Linked DNA regions of Notamacropus eugenii. The protein of the gene in region 1 purifies or fractionates together with the protein of each later gene. This does not show direct contact. Links are inferred from orthologs where the notes say so. Each region holds a gene or a part of one and is shown in the gene's direction. Other genes may lie near its edges. The genes, in order: NFKBIB, NFKB1 and POLR1E.

Region 1 (7,381 bases):
ATGGAGGAGAGACAGATGGAGGAGAGACAGACGGAGGAGAGACAGACGGAGGAGAGAGAGAGATGGAGGAGAGACCGAGAGACAGAAACGGAGGAGAGACAGACAGAGGAGAGACAGACGGAGGAGAGACAGAGATGGAGAGACAGAGACAGAGGAGAGACAGATGGAGGAGAGACAGAGATGGAGAGACAGAGACAGAGGAGAGACAGATGGAGGAGAGACAGACAGAGGAGAGACAGATGGAAGAGAGAGAGATGGAGGAGAGACAGAGACAGAGAGAGACAGATGGAGGAGAGACAGACAGAGGAGAGAGAGATGGAGGACAGACAGATGGAGGAGAGACAGAGATGGAAAGACAGAGACAGAAGGACAAGGAGAGGAAGATGGGAGAGAGGGGAGGTACAGACAGAGAGACAAAGACAGAAAGAGAAAGAACCTAAGATTAGGGAGACAGGGGAGGGGGTTGGTCCCCAGGTGCCAGAAGGAGAGCAAGGGGATGACAGCCAGGGGCTCCTGAGCCCTGACCAGTCAAGAGCTCTCGAACTTGATCTAGGGAGGGAAGGGATATTTTTGCTGTTTCCCGTGACTGTTGACCTCCTTCAAGGCCCCCTCTTCCCTTTCCCATGGTTCACCTGGTTTCACGAGACTCTGGCATTTGTCACACTTGGGGGTCACCTCTGAGAAGATCTTATCTGGGGGAGAAAACATGAGGTAAGGAATGATGGGATTGGAGGCCAGGGGAGGAGAGTAGCATTCCCTTCCTCAGGGCCCCTCCCCCTGCCCTCAGGGACCCAAGCCTCACCTTTCATCCAGCCCAGGTCATACTCTTTGTGGCAGTGGGAGCTGATACAGTGAGAGGTATAGAATGTTCCATGGGCTTCAACCAGGTCCTCTGGTTCCAGCCCAGCCACCCGCTCCAGTGTGTCGATGTTCTGGGGGAGAGGGAAGAGGAAGCAGTCAGTTAGAGCGTCTCCTCCTTATCCCCCTACTAGACTTGAAACTCCCTGAGGGGAGGGGCTCTGAAATTGGAACTGTGCATTTGCCCAGGTGTGTAACCCAGCTTTCCGCCACAGCGTCTGAAAATTATTTATTGAAATTAAACTAAATCGAAAGTTCACATCAGAATGGATGGAAAGAAAATCTGACTAGGGTAAGAAAGAATTGGCTAGTCATCAATTTAACGTTCGAACACAGAGATATCATAGAACATGTTTGTTCTTTCCAAAAATAAAACTCAAAAGTATTTATAAAGGACAAATGAAGTCAAATGATGCACTGTGGTTATTTTGGGGAAGAATTATATTTTTGGTGCCACTGCCCATCTGGGGGGCTGCCCACTGGGTCTGGCAAGGCAGACTTGCCTCTGTAGGACACAGCCTGTAGAGTGTGGGCATTTCATCCTCCCCCCTTCCCTGGCTGCCCTCACCTGGGTATAGCAGCGAAGCAGTAGGCCCTTCTCCTTGAGCAGGCGCATGAAGTAATGACACACGGTGGGCTACAGAGGGGTGGAGGGGAGTGAGGGCCAAGGGGTACACACACATTGTCTTTGATGTGGTTAGACAACTGGGACTTTCCCAGTTTCTTCTCCCACCCATTGTGGGGAGCAGCCCACCCCCCCCAAGCCCAGATGGGGAAGCCCTGACTCTGTCCCCCAATTGTGTACCTTTCCTTTCCTTTTCCTCTGATTAAGCTCACCTTAAATTGCCCTGGGTACAGCTCCCGGGCCAGAGCAAAGAAGGGCTCAGGGTGTTTCTGGGGAAAACAGACAAAGACAGATGAAGATACGTGAACCCTTCACTCCTTACAATCCCCTACCCAGGATCAGCAGCCCAGATTTGGGGGGCCCACTAGTGATATTTGATAAGATGAAGGATTTAGCTGCAGGATCTGCCCTGCTAGTGTTTGAAAGCATGAAGGCTCAGGAAAGGGAAGGGTTCTCCCTCCAAGGAGTCTGTGAAAACTTGAAAAGTGGGGTGTTCTTAATGACAGTTTTACCTTAAAGTAGCTGATCTCAAAGATGGCTTCAGGGTAGGGAAGGTTGTACTTCTCCAAGTTGGCATAGAGGCCGGTGGACGGGGAGCGGAAGTCAGGGATGCCAGCAGCTGGGGACAAGGGTAATAGAAGAGGCATCCCTGGGGGAGGCCACCTCACTGGTGAGAGGGGCCTTATCCCAACCCCTAGGTTAGCTCCTTTGGGGATCTGGCCCCCCTTCTCCATTCTGGGGGGAGTTTGGAACCTGAGGGCACAGGGAAGCAGCTACTTACATGTAGAGATCCCTGCCCCTACCATGCAGATGATATTCTGACCTGGAAGAGAAAAAAGGTGAGGGGAGAGACCTCAAGACCAGAGCAGTTTGGGGTTGTTTCTCTAGTCTCATTCCCTGGAAGGACAACTTCCCTACCCGGACTGCTTTGGCCCTGTGGAATCCTAAGGTGAGTCCCACCCTTTAGTCCTGAGTTCTCACCTGGTCTGGATGTGTCTCACTGGGTTTCCTGAGGAATGGGTAAGGGGAGGGAGAGAAGTGGTCCCAACCCGGGACATGGGAGCTGAGGTTGGGTGGATGGGGTAAGGCACATCCTGTAGACAACCTGAGCTAAGAAAAGGAGATGGGGAGAAGCAAGAACTCACATTGGTCACTCTGGATGAACTTGGTCACCCCTTCCAAGGAAAGTTCATCCAACAACTTTTCTCGCTTCCCGCTGCCCAGGCCCAGGGTTCGGGAGAAGAGATTCCGTAAAAAGTCCACTGTGGGGCAGACCAGAGGATGATGTTATGCAGGAAGAGGGCAGGCACTGGTCCCAACTAGGCTTCAGCCAGTCTTGTCCCCCCCCCCAGTTCACCACCCAGGACAACTTACTCTCTGTCTCTCCAGATGCAGCTCCACTCTCAGTTTCTGAATCTGAGTCCTGGGAGAAAACGGCCAGAGAGGGAGGAGGGTCAAGGGGGGCTCCAGAGGGTTGGCGCTTGGGGAGGACGATCACGGGAGGAGGGTTGGGAAAGGGGAGTCAGTGGAAAGAGGGTCAGAGGGAAGGTGGGTCATTAGAAAGGAGAGCCAGAGAGGGAAGCGGAGGGGCACAGTTTGGGGAAAGGAGGTCAAAGGAGGGAAGGGTAGGTGGGGAAGGAGGGGGTTAGGGTCCTCGGAATGGGGGATGGGCGGGCGGATCTGCTGTTTCAGGGCTGGGGGCGGGGTGAATAAGCCCTGTGGATCTGGGACACGGGGCGACCCACTCCCTGGGGGAAAGCCGGGGAGAGCCATGAGTGATGGGAGCAGGCGGGGGAGGCGCGGATCCTCTCACGGGCCAATCATAGACGTCCTCTCCCTCCCCTAGCGGCCAATCACAGACCTCGTCCCCTCCCCGGCCAGCCAATCACGAACGTCCAAGGGCGCCCCCTCTCACCTGAGCATCCTGCACCTTCCCTGCCTCGTCCTGAGGGGGACCGGGGGCTAGGGAAGGGGGGTAGGGAGACAGGGTTACATTGGAGGGGGGGTGGGAGGCCGTTAGCGTGGGGGCGGCGGCGGGAGCGAGAAGCGGGGAGGGGGACCCCAACTGGCCACGGGCAGGGGTGCAGAGGGGCCCTTAGCAACCAGGTACCAGGCTTCCCAGAGGTCACGGTCCTTGGTAACCAGATCCACTCCACCACATACCCCGCAGCAGCCGCGGCACCTGTTTCCTTCCACCCTAAAACGAGGCCCTTAGGTACTGGACACCCCAGGAATTAGGACCCCCCATCTTGGCTCCCAACCAGCCTTAGCCGGCGCTGCGGAGACTGGGGCCCCCAGGGCCCAACCCATTCTCCTCCCCGCAACCCTAGATCGGGGCCCCACGCGGTGGTTTCCGGGTGGCGAGTCCCCATAGCCGTTCGCCCAGAGGGCCTGGTCCTAGGCCCGGCCCAAGAGCCCACCCGTGCCCCGACTCACGGTCCGCCTCGGCCATGGGCCCGGCCCCGGGGATGGGTTCAGCAGCGTGGGGGGCGGGCAGGGGCCCTCGGGGCTGTCACCGACTGCTCCGTCCCGTGACGGCGCAGGACACGGGCGGGGGCGGGGGCAGGCAGGGCGGGCTATGGACTACAATTCCCAGAAGAGCATGTGGCCATCGCGGGAATCCCACAATGCCCCGCGCCGTCTTTCCGCCGTGTTGAAGGCCGGCGTGACCCACCGCTCACAGAGAAACCACGATTCCCAGTGTGCCTGGCGCCGGAAGCCGTCCGGGTAAAGCGGGACTGAGGGCGGATACACGAGCCGAGCCGACCAAATGCGTCTATTGCCTCTATTGGACAACTTGGTGCGAGGGGCGGAGCCCTGCCGGAAAGGTTGCGCGATCTTATTGGCAGTCATCTCTAAAAAGGGCGGTGCGACCCTCCCTGATTGGTCGAAGCGCTGAGCGAGTTGGGGAGCAGGGGGAATTCCCCGGGTCCGCGGAATCCCCGGGCCGGCGGCTGTGGCGACCAAGACTCTGGATGGACCGGGGGGGCCCGGGACGGGAGGGCTCTGCGTAGGCCATGGCGGCCCCGGCGGGGCCCGTGAAGTCCGGGGACAGCGGGCTCGCGGAGGAGTGGTGCGACAGCGGGCTCGGGTCTCTAGGGCCCGATGGGCTCGGGCCCCCGGCGGACGGGCCGCGGGACAGGACGGAGGAGGACGAGGACGAAGAGCCAGCTAGCTGGGCGCCCGAGGTGTTCGGCTACGTGACGGACGACGGGGACACGTAAGGGGCCGGCCCGCTGCCCCTGCCCCTGCCCCCAAGGCTCTCCCCTTCCCAGGGTCGTGGAAAGGTGGAGGGGGGATCCCCGCCCCTTACCGGAGGGGAAACCGAGGGAGGGAGGGGAGGTGTGAAGGCAGGGCTAGGAGGCCCCGGGGGTCCTCAGGCCATCACCTGGGACAGGGGACGTTGAGTTATGGCTTGGATTAGTTTTCCTGCTCCTACATTCTGTCCCTCTCCAAACCTCCTGGCCTCTGACCCCTGACCCCGCCTGACCCCCTTCTTTTCCCTTTGAACGGTGACTCTTTTAGGGAGCTTAATTTCCTTCTCCCCTGCTGCCCCGCAACGGGGCCTCGAAGGTGGCCCGACCCCCACCTCCCTGACCCTCTGTGTCCCCCCTGCCCAGGGCCTTGCACTTGGCAGTGATTCACCAGCACGAAGCCTTCCTGGACTTCCTGCTTCACTTCACGGCAGGTACTGAATACCTGGATCTCCAGAATGACCTGGGCCAGGTGAGGTCCTTCCCCTACCTGTGGATGGGGCCGGCAGGGCCAGGAAGAGGCCCTCCCAACCCCCCACCCCCAGGACTGACTGGCTTCTGCTTGCACTTGTGTTCCTCTGTCCACAGACGGCTCTGCACATAGCGGCCATTCTGGGGGAGGCAGCCCTCACTCAGAAGCTGCGGGCCGCAGGGGCCGGGCTCTGTGTGGCAGAGCGAGGTGGGCACACGCCCCTGCACCTGGCCTGCAGGGCTGGGGCTCATGCCTGTGCCCGGGCCCTTTTGGGGCCCCTTGAGGGCCAGACAGCCCAGGAGGAGGAGGAGGAGCAGGAGAGACGGGAGCAGCTGGAGTGCACCAACTACCAGGGTATGGCCCAGCCAATGCTTCTCCCCACTGTCATGGACGCAGCCTGATTCCTGGGGGCTGGAAGCATCTCCCAACAAGGGGGATGCAAACAGTAGCCATGGCTACGTGGACATAGGAGTGACTCTGCCTCTGGCACTGTGCCAAGGGCTTTCCCAGCATTATCTGATTTGATCTTCCCAACAACCCAGTGGAGTAGGTGTCATCACTTTCCCCTGCTTTCCCCGTTTTACAGATGAGACAAATGAGTTCAGGAACTAGCCCAGGGACAGTCCACACAGGCAAGTGAGTGTCTGAGGCTGGATTTGAACTTAGGGCCAGATCCCCACTAAATGCATATTCTCCCATTTCCTTTGAGTATGCTCATTTGCCTTAAATGCTTTCTAAATGTATTCCCTAAAGGCCTTCTAAATCTTTGTTTCTCTAAAATAACTCCACAGGCCACACTCCGCTCCATGTGGCTGTGATCCACAGGGACACAGAGATGGTTCAGCTGCTCCGGGAAGCAGGGGCAGATCTCAACAAACCAGTAAGGATACAGAACCCTGTCTGCCCTCAACTCCCAGGCCCTCCTCCCTTTTCCCATGCTGCTGTTCCCCTCCTTCCATGTATCTGTTCTGTGAGATTCTTTTCCGCACCCCCAGCTCCTTTCTCTAGATTGGGGGAGTCTAAATGAGGGAGATTACTGCTTTCCTCTGAGAGGGAGCTATAAAACAGACATCGACCCACAGTGGGCAGAGGGGCTTCTTTGAGACAAGCGGGGTCCCCTTCAGATCATACATGGTCTGAAAAACAAGGTGAGTTAGGCATGAAGATACCAGGTCCTTCAAATGGGGGACAGGCCTAACCTCTAGGAAGAGACTGTTGTCAGCAGTAGTGACTAGGGATAGATGAGGGGGTGGGGGCTGGGGCTCCAGAAAGGGGGGACATGTCCTTTACATGCACTCTCTTTCCCAATCAGGAGCCCACGTGTGGGCGGAGTCCCCTCCACCTGGCTGTGGAGGCAGAGGCAGCTGAGGTCCTGGAGCTACTCTTGGATGGCGGCGCAGACCCCAAGGCCCAAATGTATGGAGGCCGTACCCCGCTGGGTAGTGCCACGCTGAGGTCAGACCCCCTCCTCGCCCGTCTCCTGCGTGCTCATGGAGCCCCGGAACCTGAGTCTGAGGAAGAGGAAGACTCCAGCCCGAGAGGCAGCGATACTGATGAAGGTGTAAGTGACCTGGGGGAGTTCAGCCAGTGAGAAACTTGGATGAATGGGATGGAAGAAGAGAGAGCACTGGGGAAGGGTGGTCTGGTAACTGATCGTTCCAGAAGGGGAGGGTTGATGGGAGATGGGGAACTTGGGGGGAGGCCCAGGATGAAGGAGAATCAATTCCTGACTCCACTATCCTCTAGGATGAGTATGATGACATCGTGGTCCACGGAAGCTGAAGTGGAAACTGAGGCACACCTTCCTCACCTGCTGGCTATCTCTAGCCAATTTCTTTGCTTTTTTTTTTTTTTTTTTGTAGAAAAGCTTTAATTTCAATAAAACTCTCATTCCCCTGGCTGGAGTGTCCAGGGATCTGTTGGGGCCAGAGCATCTGAATTCAGAAACAGACCAATGGGAGGAAAGGCATGCTTTTATCTGTGCTTTATTTACGTTGGGGGAGAGGGGAGCAGGTGGGGCAGAAATCTCTGACCCCCCCCCCAGTCTGTTTTCTTGGTGACCCTCTCTTGCTCCCTCCCCCCACCACCTGGAGAGGGGCTGATCAAGAAGGGCAGGAACCAGTCCGTAGCCCAGTTTTCTGAGATGAGCGAGGGTGGGTGGGGCAGGTGCCT
Region 2 (7,299 bases), on another chromosome or scaffold:
AAATAGGTGATAGGCACTAGAATTAAGGGGAATCTAGAAAGGCTTCTTGGAGAAAGTGTTTTTATAGCTGAGACTTGAAGGAAGCCAGGAGGCAAGAGGGGACGAGGGACAGAGTCCCGGACAGAAGATAACCAGTGAAATACATAGAGTTGAGAGATGGAGTGCCTTGCTCATGGAAGAGCAAGGTGGTCAGTGTCACTGGATCAAAGATTATGTGAGTGAGAATCAGCTTGTAAGAAGACTAGAGAGGCAAGAGGTGGTGAAGGGATCTGAATGCCAAACAGGGCTTCTTCTATTTGACAGGGGGTCACTGTTATTTATTGAAAGGGGTGGGATGTGGTCAGACCTACTCTTTAGGATAGTTTGACAGCTAAGTGGAGGATGGACTGTACTGATGAGAGACCAACCAGCAGGCTCTTACAGGTCTGGGTGTGGGCTGAAAAAAGCCTACACCAGAGTGATCAGAAGAGAGAAAGGGGACATATATGAGAGATGGGAAAATTGAAAGGACTCGAGAACCGATTTGATATAGCGGGGGGGAGGGGATGAGAGAGAGCGAAGAGTGAGGGATTATACCCCTAGGCTGTGAGCCTGAGGGACTGGGAGGAGTAGTTGGGAAAAGGTAAAGAGTTCAGTTTGGGTCATGTTGATATTAAAAACAGACTCCTCTACCTCTTCCCAATCTTAAAGTTCTAACCAAGTCTGTTCCTGTTCTGAAGGATGCAACATGCTCTAAACACCTTAGTACAGAAAAAGTGGCTACTATACTTTGAATCCAAGGACTAAATCCACCTTCTGTCATCTATAAGCCCCACCTACTTCCCCAGGTTCTTTTTCATGACTCATCTTTTGGTGCCCTTCCCACCTCTCCCCTCCCTAACCCCAGAAGGGTGACATTTCATGAGTAAGCTTATGATAGAAAAAAGACTTCATGAATATATTAATAACAACATGCTTTCTATCAACCCATAAGAGAAGGTTATTTTCTCCCATGGGGATTTACACAAATATTAAGCAATTTCCTTAGAAGTAGAACTTTTCCTGAGAATAAAATGAGTAGAGTTCTTCAATGCAACAAGTTTAAAAGCCCCACACTGGGCAATGAAGGAGATACAGTTTAGATAAGACACAGTCCTTGTTCTCATGAAATCCACAGTTTTGGTAGGGAGGCATGACTAGTACACAGATAGGTATAATACAAAACAATAAGTAACAAGGGCATCAAATTTGTGTAAAACAAAGTGATTGGTAAAGTCCTGGAAATGAGGAATAGTCCTTACTGACTTGGTGGAATCAAAGAAAACTTTGTAGAGGAAATAACATTTGAGTCATAAACTTTATAGAACTCAAAAGTGGGACAACACATTTATAAAATTTAAATGTTTGGTCCTTGTGCGGTTACATTCATCCCTCAAACACAAATAAACTAAACTTATCTTTTCCCTCAGCTGCCATAAAACCTCCTCTTACCTTCAACTCCCTTCCCTCACTTTTCCATGAAATGTTCTGTTTTGGGAAGCTTCATCTTCCAGCCCCCTCCTTCAGCTGTAACAATCAGAAGCAGTCCTGGGTGTATTTGAGATTCAGGAGTCACAGAGAGCTAATCACTTTGTTAGAGTGGGAATCAGAAAATGAGAGTCAGAATTAAATCCCAAGAAGTCCTTAATTTCCAGGCCTCTTTGCCAAGATCTTTCCACAAGAGGGAACTGCTACCAGTCCAGTCATTTAGATCTTGGTCATCATTGCCTTATGATGACTAGATTGGTTAAAAAGACATGGTACCAAATGAACTCTTCTTTCTGTGTTGGTGGAGTGGAGCAAGGGTGAAGGTAGCATTAAGAGGGAAGCGGGAAGACTTCTTGTATGAATTCTAGAAGCCTGGTTAGGAAAAAAAAAATCTATGATCTCTGTTTCTTGCTAGGATAGCTTTTCTAGGGATGATGACAATTATAGTTCTTTTGTTTTATTTTGAATTACAGATAAAAATAATTTTTAATATTCATTTTAAAAAATTGAGTTAAAAATTCTTTCTCTCCCTCCTTTCCCTCCTCCTTTAGAAAGCAAGCAATTTACTATAGATTATACATGTGCAGTCATGCAAAATATATTTCCATATTAGCTATGTTCCAAAGAAGGCAAGGAAAAAACCTAAGTCTTAAAAAATTTTAAAACTCAAGTTTTTTAAAAAAGTGTGCTTTGATCTGTATTCGAACTCCAGTAGCTCTTTCTCTGGAGGTGGATAGCATTTTTTGTCCTAAGTCCTTCAGAATTGTCTTGGATCATTGCATTGCTGAGGATAGCTAAGTCATTCAGAGTTGATCATCATACAATACTGTTGTTACCATGTATGATTTTCTCCTAGTTCTGTTCACTTCACTTTGCATCAGTTCATATACCTCTTTCAGATTTTTCTGAAATAATCCTGCTCTTCATTTCTCATAGTATAATAGTATTTTATCACAATCATACCACAACTTGTTCAGCCATTCCCCAACTGATGGGCATCACTTCAGTTTCCACTTCTCGGCCACCACATAAGAGCTGCTATAAATAATTTTGTCCATAAAGGTCCTTTTCCTTTTTCTTTGATCTCTTCAGGATACAGACCCAGTAGGGGTATTGCTTGATCAAAGGATAGACATAGTTTTATAACTTTTTGGTCTGTTGTCCAGAATGGCTGGATCAGTTCACAACTCCACCAAGAGTTAGGCTATTATTCGTCAATGAATCTGTGATCTCCCCATCCACTATCCACATCTCACCTGGACTGACTTTTTCCCAGGCTTTGCCAAAGGCCCCCCTGCAGAAGGACCACCCGAAGTATTTCAGGCCTCCTCTAGCTAAGTCCCAACATTTGGTAGTACACATGAAGCATACTGCCTCTCTAAAATATGAGTTCATGCAAAGGATATTGAAGAAATGCATGGCAGGTATATTTAGGTTATATAGCATAATGCGTCTGATCATTTGCAAAAGAGGCCACCGAAGAATCTCAAAGATCACTTGCTCCGGATAGGAAGACCTGGGTTCGAATCCCCTTTTATTACTTATGCTATTTGTGTGACACTAGGCAAATGGCACCTTCCGGGGACTAAATGGCAAATCACATTTATACATAAAACTTAAGCCTCATATTACATCATAATTTCATTGGATCTTCACAGCACCAGGTATTGTATAAAGGTATTGTACTCTGCTGCTTCTGCAGCCCCTTTCAGGTATCAAGAGTCCTACACATCCTCAGAAAAAGGAGGTCTGGGCTGGTCATCTAACACGCTGTGACTATTGAGAAGGCATAATGGTAGAGTGGTGATAGAACTGGGTTTGGAACCCAAAATGCTTACCACTTACGAGACTTTGGGCAAGAAACTATCTCTCTGAGCCTCAGTTTGCTTATCTGTATAGTAGGAGAAACACTATTCACATCACCTCCTGGGGCTTCAGGCTTGAATGAGGCAATGTTTGTGTAGGAAAGCAGCGTGTCAAAGCCCTAGGTTGAGGTTTTTAATACATGCTTTTAATAAACATCCCAATAGGGGAATCATTACAGACAGAATTTAAGGTGAAGAATCTTTTTTGAGGGAGAGGTCACAAACAGAAGATTCAAATCCTCTATTTGTTATAAAGTGAATTATTATTAAAAATAATAGTTTTATATTTAATTTTATATTTCTATGTCATTTTATGTTTATATAGGGCTTTACAGTTAATAAAACGCTTTACACATATATTATTTGATCCTAACAAGCACCGTTGCAGGTAGGCGCTATTGTTACAGATGTAGAAACTGAGGCAGACTTGGGGACGATTTGAAATCGAGTCAGGCTTGCTCAGCCACCGCGCACAACCACAGTAATAACGTAAGCGTGGGGGACCCTTCCTCGATCCCCGGGGTCTCCCAGCAGGTGCTCAGCGGACCCCGCCCAGGTACCGCAGCCTGAGCCGCGGGATCCCAGCCCCGCAGCTGGCCCGGGGCCTCCAAGCGCCGGCTCCAGCAGACGAGGCCAAGGGATCGGAACAAGGCGCGCGCCGCCGAGTCCAAGTCCCTCCTCCCGTCCCTGACGTTGCGCTCCGGGCAAGGGGTGTAGGAGCGGAGGCCGGAGAGGGGCGCCGAGGCGACCCCGGTCCCCAGTCTCCAGCCCTGCCCCCCAGGAGATCGGGCTTCCCCCGCCCCCGGACTGGGAGTGTGTGTGCAAGTGTGTGAGTGTGTGTACGCGTCTGGCCTTGCTCGCTCTCTCCGGCTCAACGTCAGTGGGAATTTCCAGCCAGGAAGTGAGAGAGTGAACGAGAGAAAGAGAGAGAAGTGCGCCCGGCAGCTGCGAGCAGGAAGGGGAGGTTTCGCCACCCGAGGGCCAGGGGACGCGCTGACAGCTTCCCCCTTTCCCCTTCCCGTCGCTCGGTCCCGCCCGCCCGCCGTCCAGTCGGCCGCCCGAGCTGCTCCGGGGACAGCGCACGAGTGAGCGAGCCGGGACGGGCCAGGGCGCTCGGGTTGCGGCACCCCTAGCCTCCCCGGCCCGGGCTGCGGGCCATGCGCTGTGCTGCCCGCTGCTAGGCTCCGCGGGGCTGACCCACGCGCGCAGCCCGCCGCCTCCTCTGCCTCCTCTGCCTCCTCCGGCCAGCCCCCCACTGCTGCTCACCGGATCCGAGCGGGGAGCCAGGACGAGCTGGGAGGCCCTGGACAGCAGCTCCCCCAAAGGGTAAGACCAAAGTTGGGGCCGAGGGAGCGGGGAGGCTCTTCCTGGAGGGAAGGGGCAGACAAGTAAGTGCGAGTCCCCCCACACTGGCCGATCCCCACCCCGCCATCCCCCCGAGTCTAGACTTCCTCATTCCTGCCCGACCCGCTGGAGGAGGTTGACACCAGTTGCGAGGTGCAAGGGATTGGTGAAAGAGGAGGAAAAAGGCAGTCAGGGACTGGGGGTGGTGCAAATCGGCTCAGGGGAGCCCGGGGCCATGTGGTTTGGTCAATTGTATTTTTTCCCCCAACCCATTTCACCTCCTCCAACCTTTCGAAAAGATGAAAATATCTGGGCGTCTTGGACTGCTGAGGAGACTTAATTTTTCTTTTGGGGAGGTTTAGTCTGGAGGGAAGGGAATGACTAAGGGCGTACGTTTGTGTGTATGGGGGGGGAGGGTATTTTGAGTGAAGTGCTGAATCTGATTTCTATCCAAGGACGTTTTACGAAATGAAGGCTACCGATTTTCTTTATTTGAAAACCCTCTAGTTTCCAAGTCTTAACTATCTGCCATCCTCTAACTGAAAATGGGCCCATTCTTGATCGGGATCTCTGGTTATCTTTTCAGAAATATTAAGTCCATAGGGGCATTCCAAGACCCCCCGAAAGGCATTCTGAAAAAAAGGAGGGAGTGGGGGTTCTTAGTAAACTCTCTAAATCAAGTGCTGAGTCCGATGGTTAGTTCGTCATCCAAAAAAATCATGGTGGTGCTGGCATATATGCAGGGTGTCCCCAAAATCGGAGTGCAGTTATAACTTTTAATAACCATAATTTAAGCTAACGCTGCATAACGATAGTTTAAGTTATTAAAGGTTTAAGACTCGTCTCTCAAGTATGATCTTTTTATAGTGAAATTAATTTGCACTCTGAGTGTTCTGTTTCACATTTGAAATAGCCTGGATATCAAATCTAGTTGTTCGTTTGTTTTTAGAGTATCTTGAAGGTTCAATAGAAACTACCAGTTTAGGGCTTAAGTTCAATTAATGGATTTATATCAAATTAGCTGATTCCAAATCTTGGTCTATTTCCTATGGTAAGTCTAGGAATATAACATGAAGGTGGCAGTTGAATCATTTACTATATTAGAATAAGCCAGTGATCTTCTCAGAAGCCTGCTCTTCCCCACTGTTTGGGAAGCAAGGTACTCCCAGTTGGTGTAACATTGTTACTTTTGGTAGTTACTGAACTTCCTGAGTAAGACACTGTTGTTTGCCTGTTTGTCCTTTAGAATGAAAACTTGATCAGAATGCAAGGACTCAGCTGAAGTATGTTGTTAAGACTTAATTTTACAATTCTTCACATCCTGTTATTTGAAGTTAGTTATTTTTAAAGTACCTACCGCATATGTCAGCCTCTTAAGACAGAAAGATAGTCATTCCCTTCAAGGAGCTCACAATATAATGGAGAAAATAATACTTAAATAGAAGCTGAAAATTGGAGGGTATGGTGAGGCAGGGCGTTCTGAAGCATGGTGGTGCCCTGGGCAGTGGGGGAGGATCTGGGAGGAGGTCTTCTATGTCCGTCCTCTACCTTCAGCAGTTAGAACCCCTCCTGGACTTGGGGTTATTTCAGAAGACTTGAGCTTCAGAGTTGATTCCATCTTTCCTGAAAATGAGTTCCTGGAAATGATGATGAAGTCCAGGAGAACAGCTTGGTGGTAAATGATGAGGTAGCTGCCCAATTCCAGACCAGTTGAATTGTTTAAACTGTCTTCTCTATAATGTCTACTCTATATGTACTCTGATATAGAGTTGAATAATTAACTTGAGCCTAGTGTGTTTGGAAAGAAAGAATTTTGGAAGAGAAATTGATTATATGTTATGTTTGTTTTTCATGAGTACATACAACTGAATTGCTGAAATGCAAAGAACGTATGTACTGGGAAGAGACTTTTCTTGAAATGCTCAGTCAAATAGATTTTATTTATAATTATCTACTCAATATTGATAGACCTTCAACTCAAATTTATTTGGCAAAATGTCCACCTGAACTATGGAGAGCTTCAGTCAGAAAGACAGTTTCATATGAAAGAAGGTCTACCTTCAACAAGTATACAAATGCAATGAATGAATGAAAAAGCATTTATTTAAATCGTGACTAAAATAATGTGAGTTCTGAGTTCTTAGCAAAAATCTTTGGTAACGTCTTTTAAAAATGTTTTTTATCCTCAGAATCATTTTTGGAGACAGAAATCACAGATGTTATAGCTGGAAGGGACCTTAGAAATCATATCGTCTAACCCTCTCATTTTACAGATGAGAAAAGTGAGGTCCACGTAGGTTGTGATTTGTCTAAGCTCATGGCAAATGAAAGGCAGAGCTAGAACTGAGGTTTTACTCTTCTCTGATTGTTTTCTCTACTTCTGTATTGTTAAGGTTACTTCCAAAACTTTCATCTTTTGTTTTTTTAAATATCTGTTTTGTTTTTTAAATCACTTTTTACATGTGAATTACTCTGCCCAAGTATTTACCACAAGCCAAAGCAGCCTTTATTTTTCAGATCCAGGTACTAAATATTGGAGCACTTTTACAAAATAGCCAAGTTCCCCTCTCCTGTGCTAATACTG
Region 3 (8,072 bases), on another chromosome or scaffold:
TGTTTTCCAGAACTGAGGACCCTGAAGACTCTGGCATAACAACAATCCTTGGTGCTCACCCTCTGGAAGTTTGCACCTTCTGGCAAAATCTCAGATTTATTGTATTGCTTTGACCAGCACCAGGTGTTCTCTGAGTACAGAACAACACCAGACAACTATACATGTTCTGGTCATGAAGCTCTACTATGGATCAAACTTGTCTCATTGTTACCCCTCATGGTCAAGGCTATAGGTCACTGTGTAGCCTTGGGTCCCCCCCACTATGGATGGGGACCTTACACGTATCTAATCTGCCTCTTTGCTAGCAAGCCATTTCCCTCACTTTGAAATTAAACTTCTGTTTGATTCTTGACTTTCGTATCCCTAGCCTACTCTGTTTGGCTCTGGCCAGACACAAATTAGAGGTTGACAAATATAAACTATAACATATCATATCACCACTATCTGATACTCTTAGGCGGTAGAGAAGATTCCTTGGAGAATTGTGAAACTACTAAATAACTTTGTTTCTTTGTCCGCACTAAATCACAGATATTCTGGCCAGCCAGGGCAATGTTGTGGGCATGTCCTCTAAGAAGGATGTACCTGGGGAAATCATTTACCTCTGAGCAACAAAACAGAACACCTAAATCAAGGATTATGAAACTCTAAAACTCATGAAGAAGTTAGAAATATCCATCTCTTAATATCACTATTTGGTGATCAGGGAAAAAAAGCAGAAATCAGAAGAGACAGCCAGATCCAATCTCAAAATCACAGACAAGCATATTCTTTGTTGCATGTTTGTTATACCACCATAACCACTTTTAAGGTCGTTCCTTCTTCCTAGCTCCTGAAATCTAAGGGAGAGCTGGCAATTGGTTGTGTTCCAGCAAAGAAGTCCCTTTTAAAAGGATTTGAAGCTGTTGACTACAAAGGACCTGAGTTCAGCAATCATGAGAACTCGAAGGCAATGAGTCACAACATAATATCAAAAAGAATTTTATGCAAATGATGGAAAGTAATTGAGGCATCAACTGTAGGAAGAGGCCCCAATAAAAGCCTTGAGGAGAGGGCTGGTTAGGTCAGGAACTCAGCATCCGAAGTTTGATCTGGAGTGAGGTTTCATTGAGCCAGGCCGCAGCAATTTTTTTTATATGAAACAGTGTGATTTTGTTCTTTGTTGTTTTTTTCTCTCCCTTTTTACCTAGCAATTATCTTATAATTGGACCTTACACAATAGGTTTAGAACCTGGGAGCTCCACAAAAGAGTTCCACCAATGGGGTTAAGGAAGAAGTCATTAGAGATCCTTTGTCCAACCTGTGTTTCCATAAGAAACTTCTGCCAATTCCCTATCTTCAATGGAAGCCACCTCTCCTCGTGTATCCTTTAGCCCAGAGAGTGAGTAGCTCTTCCTGGCTTATCTCTCAGTCCTCTTTCACATGATCCTCGGTCATAGGAACCAATAAGGAATTAATGCATCAATCTTAAGCAAAGCAAGAGGTCACAGTATATGTCTGTTTCCACAGAACCAGAGCAAATAATCCCTGTGGCATAAAATGTATAAAAATTAAATACAAGATAATTTTGGGAAGGATACCAGCAGTTGGGAGGATCAGAAACGTATAATGTAGAAGGTCCTTCTTGAGTTGATTTTTGAAGGAAACAAGATATTCTTTAAAGTGGAGGTGAGGAAGGAGTATATTCCAGGCCTGGAGGAGGAGTATGACTGAAATGAGGGAGTGTATGAGGAGAGTAATGTATTATAATTCGGGAGAGCTAGGTTGGGGTCAGGTTGTGAAGGGTTTTAAAAGCTAAACAGAAATTTATATCTAATCTCAGAAGTGATAAGAGGTCCCTGAAGTTTGTGGAGTAAAGGAGTAACATGATCAGTTGCCTGCTGGAGGAAAATCACTTTGACAGCTGAACAGAGGCTAGATCAGAGAGGTTAAGAGGCTTGAGGCTGGTAGACCAACATGGAGTTGATTGCAATAGTCCAGTCAAGAGTTGACAAGAATCTGAACCAGTGCCCCAGTAAAAATAAAGTGACAGAAGTGAGAAATGTAGTGAAAGTAAAAACCAGAAATTTTGGCAAATGATTGGATATAAAGTGGAGAGAGTAAGAACTGGAAGACAGCACTGAGGTTGTGACCTTGGGTGACACAATGAATGAATAAGCATTTGTTAAATGCTTACTATGTGTAAAGCACCTCACTAAGTACTGGGGATAGAAACAGAAAAAGGAAGATAGTTCCTGCTCTCAAGGAACTCACATTCTAATGGGGAAGATAATAGTGCCTTTGACAGAAATAAGGATGTTCCGAGAGTAGTGGTTGGGATGGGGGAGGAAGAGAATCAGCTTCATTGGAATTTGTTGAATTTGAGATACCTGCAGGATAGCCAGTTTGAAATTTCCCATAAGTAACCAAAGATGCACAACTTAAAGATCAGAAAAGAGATTAGTGCTGGATATAGATTTAAAAATCATCTGCATAAGTTGAAGCATACCTTTTTCCACTTCATTTGTCTTTTGGTATGGTTTTTTCCCCAATGTGGCTAATGTGGAAATATGTTTTGCATGACTTCACATGTATGATCAATAACATATTGCTTACTTTCTCAAGGGATAGAGAATTCAGAACTCAAAATTTTTAAAAATGAATGTCAAAATTTTTGTGTATGCAATTGAGAAATATTTAATGAAATAAAATGTATTTGTAAAAGAAACATTTAAAATCTTAAATGTAATTGGGAGGCGTAACAAAATAAAAATATATTTTAAAAATAAAAATCATCTGCACAGAAATGATAATTAAATTCATGGCAGTGATGAGGTCACCAAGTGAGAAAGTACAGAGAAAAAAGAGAAAATGCAGGATAGTATCATAGTTAAGGAGTGTTATACAGAAAAGAAAGTGGAGAAGAAATAGTCAAAAAGATAGGAGGAAAAGCAAGAGAGAGTAGTACCAGAAACCTTGAGAGAGGAGAGAGTGTTTACTGGGAGAGGCTGGTGAGTATTGTCAAATACCGTAAGGAAGTTGAGAAGTTTGAGAGAAAGCCACTGGATTTGGACCTTGTAAGAAAAGGGCCCTTGGGGCTTACTGTCAGACACTTTCTTCCTGTGTCCCTCACTCTCCTATCACTCAGAGCCAGGTGTACAAGAAAATATTACTGTTTCAATTAATGTTTTATTTGATTCTTTTAGAGTTCTCTAAATAGAGCATCATACCTCTGCAAAAACTTCTTATTTGTCTAGGTTCCTTCCCTCAATTTCTTTTTCTTGTTTTCACTATAGTTAGCATTTCTGACACTCTATTAAATGACAGTGTTGTCTCTGGACATTTGTGCTTTACCTCTGATCTTATTTGTAAAGGACTATCGAATTTCTTCACTACTTATAATGTTGGCTCTTTGTTTTACATAAGAAACTATTTGCTATCTTAAGGAAAGATACATTTATTTCTGTGATTTTTAATACGTGAGGCTGTTTGTTCTTTAATAGACTTTGAATTTTGTCAAAAACTTTCTCAGAACATATTGGTATAACTAATTTTTATTTATACGAGCTATTATAAACTATGTTATTCCTAATATTGAACCTCCCCTATAGTCATGGTATAAATCTAACTTGGACAAGTATCTAATCTATTTAATATACTATTGTAGCCTCTTTGATATTTTATTTAATATTTTGTATCAATATTTGTTAAGGATATTAGCCTATATCGTTTTCTCTCTTTTTTGTCTCTTCTTGATTTAGGTATCAAGACTATATTAGTAATAATAGAAAAAGTTTGGTAGTAAACGTGATTTCCAATTTTTTTGCAAAAAACATTATATAATACAGGAATTAACTATTCTTTGAATGTTTGATACAATTCACTTGTAAATACATATAGTAACGGGAGGAGTTTCTTGAGTTCATTTATGGCTTGTCCAATTTATTTTTTCTGATGTGTTAAGTTCTTGGTTACCTTCTTTTAACGAGTATTTAAATTTTTTAATAAATGTTTTCTATTTAATTTGTCTGTTGACCCCATAATTGGACAAAATACTTTGATAGCTTCCTTTATCTTAATTTTTTATAAATTCTTTTCATTTTTGATGCTGGCACTTTGTTTTTTCTTTTCAAATGGAACTAGTTAACTTTGTAATTATTATTACAAACAGCTCCTAATTTCATCGATCGGTTTGGTGGTTTTTCTTCTTTCCATGTTGTTCAGCTCTTTGATTTTCAGGATTTGCTTTGTTATTTAGCTCTTTACTTTTCAGTCGTCCCCTTACCAACCTATGCTTTGTCTTTCCTTAATTTTTGGACTTAGATATAAATTTACTATGGAGTCCTGCTTTAGTTACATCCCAAACCTTTTGTTCCTGTCATTCTCTCTGATGAAATTGCCTGTTGTTTCTTGGATTCATTCTCTGATCCACCCGTTCTTAGGAATGATTTAATTTGTTTCTTCCACTCCTCCCACCCCTGTCCTGAGTGATTTGTTTAAGACACTTTGTTTTGTTTTTTCTAACCAGACAAGAAAGTGAAGCTCACGCTGAAAAGTCACCAAGTGGATTTTTGCCCAGCCCCTCCTGAGAGCAGAGGGGGTACGGACCTGCAGTCAGGAGGTCCCCATCACTGTCAGCACCTTGGACAGATGCTGTTTGCCCATTGAGTCCGCAGCCCCCAGTGATCCTCATGGTCCTCATAGGAGCTCCAGCCTTCACCTGGGCTGTCATCAGCTCCAGCTCACGGTGTGTTGGAGGCATGGGGGACTGGTAAGAAGAAGGAGCATTTAGGAAGCACTAGACGCTATTGTTATCATCCACATTATACAGATAGGGAAACTGAGGCAGGTGGAAGCTAACAGACCCGGACCAGGCGTGCGAAGACGCTCGGACCGCCCAGCCACTAGCTTGGACAAGGGGAGGAGCCGACGGCTTCAGGGGGCGGAGCTTAGAGGGCGATGACGAACCCGAGGCTTCAATGGGCGGGGCTTGGGAGGAGGGACTGAACCGGACAGCCGTAGGAAGCTGGATTGAGGAGAGACCAGCCAGTAGGCGTTAGGAGGCGGTGCTTCTGAGGAGACAACCAATCAGCTGAGAAGCGGAGGCTAAATCGACAGGTCTTCAGGAGGCGGGGATTGGGGAAGGCCCGGGTAGGGCGGTTCTTCCGGCCCCGCGGCCCCGCCTCTTCCGGTGGAAGCGGGATTGGGGAGCTTGGTGACTGGAAGCTCCACATGTGAGCTCCGTGGAGCGCGGACCGAGCCGTGGCCGTGGGTTCCGGGGGATCTGCTCCGGCCATGTCTGCGTTTGCAACGTGGCAGTACTGCGGGGAGCCGGGCGAAGGGCAGAAGGCTGCTCTGGGTAAGGCCGGGGGCGGCAGAGCAGCTTTACCCCCTCCCTTAGGGGCTGTGAGGACCGTGCGCGCCCGCGTCGGGACCGGCGCTTGTAGTGCCAGAGGCATGACTTAGACCAGCTCTCGCCCAGCGCCGGCCTCCGTGCTCCCTACATGTCCAGGAGGCGCTGGGTGGTGAGGGCCTCGAGCGCCCGGACAAGCCGCCGAAGGGCCTTCGTGAAAGGGCAGGGCCTCCCGGTGCATGCCGGGCCGGCTCCAGGCGTCCTGAGGATGACCAGCCCACCGGCCCGGACGGCTGTGGAGGGGGTGAGGCTGGTGAGCGGCCGGCCCTCCCCCTCAGAGCAGGGTCAAGGGCGGGTCAGGCCACGAAGGACGAGCACAGCCCACTCCCCACTTCATCGGGCATCAGAAGCTCTCCCGGGGCCCGTCTCAGCGCACCCGGCAGATGCACCAGTGTTTGCGTACGGGCAACTCTCTTCCCTCTCCACCCCCCTTCTCACTGTGGATACACCGTCTCTGTAAAACGCACAGTACACCTACAGCTCCTTCAGGTCGTGCCTTACAGTCTGTCCGCGCGCCGGTCAGGGAGGCTGTCCTCGGGGGTCCGTGTGACCCGATGCCCCCTGCAGTGCCCCCTCCTGCCCTTAGTCCCCATGCGCTGGCTGGCCTTTCTCCTGTCTAGCTGTCCTCCATCAGAGCACTTGTTTGTCCCCAGACTTCCCTCGGTCTCTCCCTCAGGACCCAGGGAAATATTCTAAAATGACTGTGCTTGCCCCTAGTCCTTGGTCTCCATCCTCTTCTCACTCTGTAGCCAAAGCCAGCGTCCTCTCTTGTTACCTCTCACATAGGAAGGGTCTGGTAGGATTCGCTTTCTGTGACGTTCGTAGATACTGTAGCCCAGAACTGGGGATTGAAGGGCTTTCCTGTTTTTATTAATTACATTAATGGAACTCTTTTAGAAGTCCACTCTGCATTCAGCGCCACTTCGTTGATCATTTTCTGTGCATTTATTGCAGTTCAGTTTTCCAATGGGAAACTCCACAACGCTGAGAATGTGAATTTTTCCTTGTACAAGAGCAAAGACACCACCAACCCCAGGAAGAAGTTCAGGAGGATTTTGGTGAGTCCCTCAGTAGTTTTGTCTTTTTTTACAAGGTGGTGTGTGCCTGGAAGCGGGCGCTGACCCAGAATGAGAACAGCTTTGCCTCATGGGGACCGGGCAGAGCTGATTAAAATGCTCCTAAGCTGTTTAAGTCCCAGTCAGGTACATGCTGTGCTTGGGTCTGCTGGGTGCTAGGGGTGCAGAGGTAAAAGTGAAGCAGCCTCTGATTTTAGAAGGCACTAAATACCGTCAGAGGAGACCTCGTGTACGCATATAAGTGTGTTCGTAGTCATTTGGGGGGTGAGAGAGGATGCCCCAACATCTGAAGAGCAAGAAAGGCCCTGTGGAAGTGGCTTCTGAGCTGAGCTTTAAAGAAAACTAGCAGGGGTCTTTACTTGAACTGAAACCTGCCTGTGTCCTGTGGTCCTGGTTCTGCTCAGGGGCCAAGGAGAGTGAATCTTAGTCCCTTTTCACATGAAAGTCCTTCACATATTGAAGACAGCTCTTATTTCCCTGTCTTTCCCCCAATTCAGTATCTTCAGTTCCTTCAGTTGATTTTCATAACTTTGTTCTTTGATCATTGTCTCTGCCCCCCTTCTCAATGTACTTTCGTTTGTCAGTGTCCCTCATACAGTGTTTGCCTGGAACTGAATGAAGTTAAATTCCAAACATGCTCTGATCAATACAGACTATAGTGAGATTATTAACTTCTGTTAATACAGTCTAAGATCCTTTTATTGTAACCATGTCATATGTTATTGACATAATTGAGGTTGTAGTCAGCAGATGCCTCGTTCGTAGAAATTGTTATTTATCCACAGCTCTCCAATCCTGTACTACAGGATTTTTTAAAAATTTTACATTCATCCCCAGATATTTTAAAAATAAATATTTTGTTGATGCTTTTGATATGTTTCACTTTTCAATGATTTATCTTTCCACTAACAAGTATAGTTAAACAAATCAGATCAACAAATCAGGCACACACTATGGAAAAAGTGCAGCATTTTAAAAGCCTTGGGTTCACATTCCAGCCCTGTCACTTATTACCACTATGATTCTGGGCAAGTCCACCTCTCTATGAAATGAGAGGGTTGGATGAAGCAGTTCCCTTCCAGTTCTCAGTCCTTGATTACAGACGCCTGGTTCTGCATCCAGATCTGTAGCCCATCCCCTCTCTGCTACGAGGAAGAAGAGTTCTGATGTCTTTAGGGGTGCTTTCCTTTATGTTACCGTGGTCATCATCTAAATTGTTCTCTTGGCTTTCTTCAAGTTATAGGGTCATAGATTTAGACCCATAAGAAAACCTTAACAGCCATCATGTTTAACCCCCTTGTGCAGATAAGGAAACTGAGGTATAAAGAGGGTAGGTAGAGTCAGATAGAATAAGTGTCTAAGGTGGGATTTGAACCCGCCTTTCTTAACTGAGTTCGTTGTCCTATCCACTGTTCCATGCTGTTTTCCCAAGTTCCTCTGACTTCTTCAAAATCATTATTTCTTACAGCACACTATTATTCCATTACATTCATATACACTTTGTTCAGTCACTCTCTTTATGTAGGTGTCTACTCTGTTTCCGTTTTTAGCACAAAAAGATTGCTGCAAATAGCTAATACACAGAAGTATGGGAAGATTGGTAT

What was found.
Region 2: the proteins of NFKBIB (region 1) and NFKB1 purify together in Homo sapiens (affinity purification with mass spectrometry; 7 studies listed by BioGRID and IntAct, counting the BioPlex papers as one, with this or other methods). This does not show direct contact. The link is inferred for Notamacropus eugenii from reciprocal best matches to the Homo sapiens genes NFKBIB and NFKB1.
Region 3: the proteins of NFKBIB (region 1) and POLR1E purify together in Homo sapiens (affinity purification with mass spectrometry; 3 studies listed by BioGRID and IntAct, counting the BioPlex papers as one, with this or other methods). This does not show direct contact. The link is inferred for Notamacropus eugenii from reciprocal best matches to the Homo sapiens genes NFKBIB and POLR1E.

Annotation. Positions count from the first base shown.
Region 1 is NC_092876.1:32,023,344-32,030,724, forward strand, and holds NFKBIB (NF-kappa-B inhibitor beta), read left to right. Parts: upstream 1-4,362; 5' UTR 4,363-4,500; coding exon 4,501-4,703; intron 4,704-5,103; coding exon 5,104-5,209; intron 5,210-5,325; coding exon 5,326-5,563; intron 5,564-6,000; coding exon 6,001-6,089; intron 6,090-6,521; coding exon 6,522-6,770; intron 6,771-6,955; coding exon 6,956-6,991; 3' UTR 6,992-7,108; downstream 7,109-7,381. Other genes in the region: SIRT2 (NAD-dependent protein deacetylase sirtuin-2), read right to left, coding at 633-692, 803-932, 1,427-1,495, 1,696-1,752, 1,996-2,102, 2,265-2,306, 2,629-2,745, 2,858-2,906 and 2 more. UniProt on the Homo sapiens protein: Inhibits NF-kappa-B by complexing with and trapping it in the cytoplasm.
Region 2 is NC_092878.1:140,834,974-140,842,272, forward strand, and holds the start of NFKB1 (nuclear factor NF-kappa-B p105 subunit), read left to right. Parts: upstream 1-4,198; 5' UTR 4,199-4,697; intron 4,698-7,299.
Region 3 is NC_092874.1:316,992,081-317,000,152, reverse strand, and holds the start of POLR1E (DNA-directed RNA polymerase I subunit RPA49), read left to right. Parts: upstream 1-5,065; 5' UTR 5,066-5,274; coding exon 5,275-5,338; intron 5,339-6,346; coding exon 6,347-6,450; intron 6,451-8,072. UniProt on the Homo sapiens protein: Component of RNA polymerase I (Pol I), a DNA-dependent RNA polymerase which synthesizes ribosomal RNA precursors using the four ribonucleoside triphosphates as substrates.